Linked DNA regions of Oryctolagus cuniculus. The protein of the gene in region 2 purifies or fractionates together with the protein of the main gene of each other region. This does not show direct contact. Links are inferred from orthologs where the notes say so. Each region holds a gene or a part of one and is shown on either strand. Other genes may lie near its edges. The genes, in order: CTCF and RPL26L1.

Evidence for each region.
Region 1: the proteins of RPL26L1 (region 2) and CTCF purify together in Homo sapiens (affinity purification with mass spectrometry; 3 studies listed by BioGRID and IntAct, with this or other methods). This does not show direct contact. The link is inferred for Oryctolagus cuniculus from reciprocal best matches to the Homo sapiens genes RPL26L1 and CTCF.

Annotation. Positions count from the first base shown.
Region 1 is NC_091449.1:50,881,823-50,884,744, forward strand, and holds the end of CTCF (transcriptional repressor CTCF), read left to right. Parts: intron 1-817; coding exon 818-1,002; 3' UTR 1,003-2,312; downstream 2,313-2,922.
Region 2 is NC_091437.1:59,494,657-59,498,987, reverse strand, and holds the start of RPL26L1 (ribosomal protein uL24-like), read right to left. Parts: upstream 3,033-4,331; 5' UTR 1,874-3,032; coding exon 1,721-1,873; intron 1,407-1,720; coding exon 1,230-1,406; intron 1-1,229.

The DNA.
Region 1 (2,922 bases), on a different chromosome or scaffold from region 2:
TTGAAAGAGTTAGAGGGGTCTTCCATCCGATGTTTCACTCCCCAATTGGCCGCAATGGCAGGAGCTGCACCGATCCGAAGCCAGGAGCCAGGAGCTTCTTCTGGGTCTCCCACGTGGGTGCAGGGGCCCAAGCACTTGGGCCATCTTCTACTGCTTTCCCAGGCCATAGCAGAGAGCTGGATCAGAAGTGGAGCTGCTTGGTCTCGAACTGGTGCCTATATGGGATGCCAGTGCTTCAGGCCAGGGCGTTAACCTACTGCGCCACAGCACCAGCCCCTTAATTATTTTTTGAATGTTCTCCCTGAGCTCCAAGAATAGAGTTCTGTCAGAGAAAAGGAGGTTAAGTGCAGATCTTAGAAGCAGCTCTCCGGTTTCTTCTGCACACACTGGAGTGAGCAGACAGGTGGGAGGGCCTGGGTGTGGGAGAACTACAGAATCAGAAATGTCCGCTTGTCGTAGGTGTGTCACCTACGTCACACACTCTTCAAGTAGCCTTAGTCACATGCTGTCTCATTTCTTGCCTGCATCTCATAGTATCAATTTCTGACTTAAAACTAAGGATTTTTACGTGTAACTTGGGAGGCGTGTGAACGTGAATGTCAGCCTTTTGTGCTCTGATGGTTTTCAGAGAACTGGGACTCTGTGTGTCCATGTTCTGGGTCTCTCTAAGTCTCTGCTTTATTGACTTTCTCCGTGTCACTACTAAGGCTCCCTGTATGTTGCTATCCCGTGGACTGCACTGTGTAACAGGGTCTTGTACTCCTGGGGGCTTTAATGTACCTTTTGTTTTGTTTTGTTTTGTGCTCCTCTTTGCCAGCAACAGCCATCATCCAAGTTGAAGACCAGAATACAGGTGCAATTGAGAACATTATAGTGGAGGTAAAAAAAGAGCCAGACGCCGAACCCACGGAGGGTGAGGAGGAGGAGGCCCAGCCAGCTGCCACAGATGCCCCCAACGGCGACCTCACGCCTGAGATGATCCTCAGCATGATGGACCGGTGATGGTGGGGCCTTGCTGGGCGCCGGGACTGCTCTGGGCTGTGTTTAAACGGCCCACATCTTAATTTTTTTCCCTTTTTTCTTCTTTTGGCTTTGGGAAAAGCATCATTTTTACACCATTTTACCAAACAAACTGAGAACGAAAACTTCAAGGATGATGTTAGAAAAATGTGATTTAACTAGAACTTGCTGTTTGATGTTAACAAATCATGGAATGTCTGAGTCCCTGCGGGTTTACTGTGAAGTGCTGAGGGCAGTGTTGACGCCTGACTGGTTTCTGAGACGGAAACAGAGACATTGGCCCCTCTCTCTCAATACGGTAAACCACTCCAGAATGGCTGCCGGGTTTCCCAGAGTTCTCTGGTCTTCTTCCCAAGAGAGTTTTTAATTGTAAATGCAGACTTGGGGAGGCCTTAGACTTTTAACCTGTTTTTTGCTTTTGCTTTTTCTCTGACTCCTTGCTCGAGTCAGCTGCACACCAGTAGTACGGCATGCTACGATCGGTTACTGTCCTGAACGCTTTGCCTCTTTCTTGGCAGAGTTTCTGGTATGGTCAAGCTTGTAAATAACTTTTTTTACATTTTAATCTTTTCCATTAATTAAGAGGTTGAAAAGAAGTGCAGTGTGAGAAAACCCAGCATTTTAATTACTTGCAAATTAAGTTGCCACAGACTTGGTAGTGTGGAATTATTAAAGGAATTGGATCACAATCATGTAGCAGATCGGCACCCAGCCTGCCGCCCGCTAGTGACGAGCCTCCACATGGAAGATCATGATTTCCAGCCCATGGAGCCAGCATTTGAACTTTGTACAATTAACCTTCAGTTATGATTTCCCATTGACATTTTCTTTGCTATGTTTAGCAGAATGTTGCGTTTTACGAATCCCCTGTCAGAGCCAGAGGGTGACTATGAGTGGGTCACAGCAGTCCTGACATGCTGGGCCAGAAATTTTCACTAGGTCAGTAATTTAAACTTTGGATCTTCAAAAACAAATAATAATGTGAAACAAAACCAACTAAAAAATGATTGTTGCACATGAACTGTCACACGTTGAAAATGTGTTTTTTAGAGAGCCTCAGTCTTGCTGATTTCAAACACTTTTTTTCTTCTGTGTATTGCTTTTTAAGAGAGCCATCAGTTAGCTATCAGACTCTAGGTTGATGCATTTTGTACTTAGCTGTACTGTGTGATATTTTTCATTATTTTAGGATGCCAACACGAGACCTGTAATAAAATATGTAATGGGGTTGAAAGCTGGGGAGGAGGATCTACTGCTGTACAGCTAATAAATCATAACGGATTAACAAGTGCTCCGAGGACTCTTGTCTTGTGTGATTCCTGCCTGCTGGCCCCCCGAGGGGCTGGCGCAGAGCTCCAGGCCGTGCCGGCCTCCGCATCTTAGAGGCAGGCTGTGTTCCTGGGATAGTGCTTCCTCTCGGGCAGAAGGAGAGGATCTTATCTTGGAGGATGTCAGGATTGTGAGTGCATCCTGCTGCACATTTAACTCCGCAAAAATGGGTGTGAGGAGAGCATCAAGTGGATGGGCAGTGGCCGGCCTCCGTGGTCCGCCCGAGGAGCGGGTGCCCGCTGCACAGAGCTGTGGAGTTGTAGTTGATGGGAAGCCCTGTCTTAGGATCTTGGCTCAGGGAGGCTGGGACCACTACCTGGGGCTTAGCCAGGTACAGGGGAACAGGAGAAGCTGGGCCCAACCTGCCAGAAGTCCATTTGAAGCGGGAGACACCAGGATTGTACAGGGGCTACTGGTCAGCGCCACGATGATGGACGGGGACTTGGGTCGTGTTAGGAAGCTCAGGCTTCAGCTTGAAGGCATCGTGTAGCTGCTGGCTGTTTCCAGATGGATCGCTTTGGCAGTGTTGGGTTTTCTTAAATTCTTACTATTTACTCGAAAGGCAGAAACAGA
Region 2 (4,331 bases):
AGCCATTTCTATCACATCGTGTGCACGAACCAGGAGAGTGTCCAAAGGAGCAGGAGGTGAAGTACAGACAGTTCTTCCCTGGCTCTTCACGGGCAACACAAAGTGGGGCCGGGGAAGAGAATCTCATTTTTCCTGTGCCCTTGCAAAACAAAAGAATCTGACAACAGCCCGGATTTCTCTCTGGCAGAGGGCTGGAGGCACAAGCCTGTCTCCGCAAGTGAGGCAAGAACTCCCCACATTCTCAGCAGCGGCCCACTTCCCTTACTGAGCTTGTCTGCCTAGCCCCAGCAGTCAGCCGCAGGTCCCCCCTTCTAGAACGTGTCTGCTGGGAAGGAGAGACAGGAGCACCAACTACTGCTCATACTCCAGCCACCCCTGCTTTCCCTTCCTCCATGCCGTATTCTAGTGTGCTCCAGTCTCTTCCTCGAACACATCCCTCAGCCCTCAGAGTCCACTGCCTGACATACCCCAAGCCCCACTAACCTCAGGGGGGAGTTCACCGTACCCCCGGGGGACGTCTGACAATATCTGGAGTCACAGTTTGTCACAGTTGTGAAGAGGGGGACTGCAAGTGGGGACTGGCCAGCGATGCTCCCCAGGGCAGCTCTCCCACACCAATGATCTGGGCCCAGAGGCCAACCGTGCTGAGGTCAAGACACCTGCTCTAAAACGCGATCCCACAACACGAGCCTCGACAACCTTGTTCACCGCTAGCTTCCAGAACAACATCAGGTCAGCAGGCAAAAATAGCCCGTAGAGGCCAGTTCACTCTCCTCTGTCACTTCTGCTCCCACTCAGGGTCCGTGCCAGTCACAGGCAACAGAGGGCTTTTACTTTCCCAAACTTCCCAAATGTTTGCACCTCTGCCGTGCTCCTCTGTGTCCCCTGCTAAATCCAGCACCATCCGACGCTCCCCCCAAATGCCTGTCCATCACTTCCGGTGAACTCACAGCAGCACTTGGGCCTGCAAAGCCTAGCTCGACCAGCCACCCTGAGCACCCCTGGCAAACCAGCAGCCCTGCGGCCCAATCAAAGGGCCGACAGCACCCCATCTTGTTCTGATTATCGAGGGGCAGGCACGGCCCGGTGGCTGTGGGCCCCGCCTTTGCCCTAGCGCCACCTGCAGCGTCACACAGCTCGCCCAGGGCGGGACAGGCTGCAGCCCCCTCCCCCGGCGGGCACGCACCACGCTCTCGTGCCCAGGCGCCCCGCAGCCGGGGAACACGCACCTGGACCTCGTCGTCCTTGCGGATGGGCATGGAGCGGACGTTGTACTTCTGCCGCAGCTCCTTGGACAGCGGGGACGACATGATCTTCCTGCGCACGTGCGACGGCGCGTTGAAGTGGCGTTTGCGGTTCTTGCTGCGGTCCGAGGTCACGAAGGGATTGAACTTCATGGTGACGGTCTGCGGAGGGCGGCGACAAGGGGAGCGAGGGCGCGCGCGGTGGGCTTCGGCGGCCTCTTCCCCATCCGAGACGCCCCTCCTCGTCCCCGCCCAAGTGCTCTAGGGGCAGACACCGGCACGGAGGAAGCGGACGGAGGACGCAGAGTTGGGTGTGCGCGTGGTCTGGACCATACATAGGAAGACTTGAGTCGGGGGCGCATGCCTGACCAAAGGGGTCGCGGGGAGCGGCTGAGGGAGGGACGCTTGGGCTGGGAGAATGCTTAGCTGAAGGTCACGCGGAGAGAAGGGGCTGCACACAAAACACTCCTACTTACCTCCTTGGTACCGAACACGTTCAGGACTTGCGCGCGCAGTACCGGAAGTAGGGCTCCCTGGCCGCGCAAGCGCAGAAAGATACCGAGAAGCACCCTTCCCGTTGGAAGCAAGCAGACGGGCGCCCCCTGCGGCCCGGGGTGGGATTGCAGCATCTCGTTCCCCGGGGCGGGAGAGCCCGGCGCGGCCTCAAGCCGGGAATCCCAAGAGGTGGCGCCTCTGGAGACAAGCGCCTGTTTTCCTAGGGTCCGCGATGGGGGCTCACGGGGGTTCCTTTAACAGGCACACCGTCGGGAGTTCGTCACCTGCCCCATACTCTCCCTATGCCCCTGCAGCCTGCGGACTGGCGTCTTAGGCAACATATTTAAAATGCAGACTTTCGGGCCCCATCACAAGTCGTGCAGAACCAGACAATGGTGGGTCTGGGTCACTCTTCCATCCACGGAGGATTTTGTGGTGCACTAGAATTCGAGGATCGCTGTGCACCAAACACTGGACTTTGCAAAAACTCCCTTGTGTTTGCTGGTTTCTCCCTGTTGTGAAGGGCAGGGGCCACCCAGGCCGACCTCAGGAGAACGCCTCCACGTTTTCTCCTCTGTAAATGGCGGCGGGCCCAGGAGGCGCCGCGCAGGGGTGCCACGAGGACTACATGAGCTCATCCATGCCGCGTGGGCACAGCCGAGCCTGGCACGCGGCGCTCAGCCCCAGTCAAACATCAGAGGCCCCCGCTTTCCACGGTGCCTACCCTCGGGCTACCTTTATCATCAATTCCTGTTAGTTCTCTGTGTCTGATACCCACACGTGCACTCTGCCGCGCGGCTAGAGATCACGCGTGATACCTCTACAGTAGCTGCGGGAACGATCACCGAGGCGGGTGTGCTGGTGCAGCAGGTGAGCCAGAAGCCCGCGCCCCAGGACGCCGTGCTGCTTGCTCCCTGCTGATGGCCTGGGAAGGCAGCGGAGGACGGCCCCAAGTCGTCGGATCCCTGCGCCCACGGGGGAGACCCGCACAGAGCCCCTGCCCGGCCCAGCCCTGGCTGTTGTGGCCATCTGGGGAGTGACCCAGTGGAGGGAAGATCTTCTCTGCCCCACGCCTCGCCCTCTCCCTGTGTCAAATCAATCAACCAATCAGCCTTTTTCTACCAAAAGGACCAACTCGGGTGCCGGGTGCTCCGCTTCGGAGTGCTCCGCTGGACTTGCTGCCGCCGCTCCGCCCCTCTCCGCCTGGCCGCACCTGCTGCGACCGAGCCGCGCGCGTCTCCGCGTCCTGCCGCCCACCTCCCGGCCTGCACCTCCCATTCTGCGGGAGGTGCGGGCGCCACCTGGCGGCTGGACAGGCTGAGACATCTGCGGCCCTGGCGAGCCTGCACGCGTGGACCACCACACGGGAGGTCCCCTTCCTGGGCACCGCAAAGGCCGGGAGACAGGGAAGGGCTCTGGGCCTCCAAAAGGCTTATTCTGTGCAAGGTCTTATTCGCTCATTACCGCTAACCCTCCCATTCATTCATTCATTGGTCCTGGATCTATTGGACGACTGCCTTGTGCCAGACGCTGCACATGAGTTGATGGAAGGAGACCCTGGAATTCAGAGAGGGTGATGTCTTGCCCCACATCCCTCAGCCACACTCTCAGTTTATTACTGGTGGTGAAATGGTTAAACGCCAGTATGTACTGGTAGGCAGGATCACAAGGCATCAGTGTGGATCCCAGCACCATCTGGATCCTACTTCAGGTTTTGCCCTAGATCCTCTGCAGCCAGCCTTGGAGACCTCTGGAGGATGGCCACTCCTGGGCTGTTTGCCTGCCCTTACAGTAGTTGAGGCAACAGCAACCCCAATGCCACCCAGTGTGCGTGCCCTGATCCAGGAGTAGGGAGGTTACTGGGGCTGCGGGGGGGGGGGGGGGGGGGCCTGTGATGAGGAAAGAAGAAGTCACTTAACCTTTAACAGTGCAGGGGCAGAGGCGGGCAAGACCAAGGGCACACAGAAGGGGACCAAGGTCCGCCCCAGGGCAGCTCTTACAGAGCATGTGCACTCCCTGCAAGCGCCGCCTCTCACTGGCTCCCTCTCTGTTCCCGCATTCATTTACTAACTCACTTGCACACGCTTTTTTTTTTTTTTTTTTTTTAAGATTTATTTTTATTCATTTGAAAGAGTTATAGAGAGAGGTAGGTCTTCCATCTGATGGTTCACTCCTCAAATGGCCACAGTGGCCGAAGCTGGGCAAGGCTGAAGCCAGGAGCCAGGAGCTTCTTTCGGGTCTCTCATGTTGAATGCGGGGGCCCAAGGACTTGGGCCATCTTCTGTTGCTTTCCCAGGCCATTATCTGGGAGCGGGACAGGAAGTGGAGCAGCAGGGGCAAGGATGGGAGCCCATATGGGATGCTGGTGCCACAGGCACTACGCCACAGCACACGCCCCATAATGTGTCTGCAGAATCCTTAAGGACCCTCCTCTGCCCCAAGTCTGCCTGTTTTTTTTTGTTTGTTTGTTTGTTTGTTTTTAAGATCATTTATTTATTTGAGAGGCAGAGTCAGAGAGGGAGAGACAAAGGGAGAAGTCTTCCATCCTATGATTTCCAAATGGCCACAATGGCTGATGCTGAGCCAACGTGA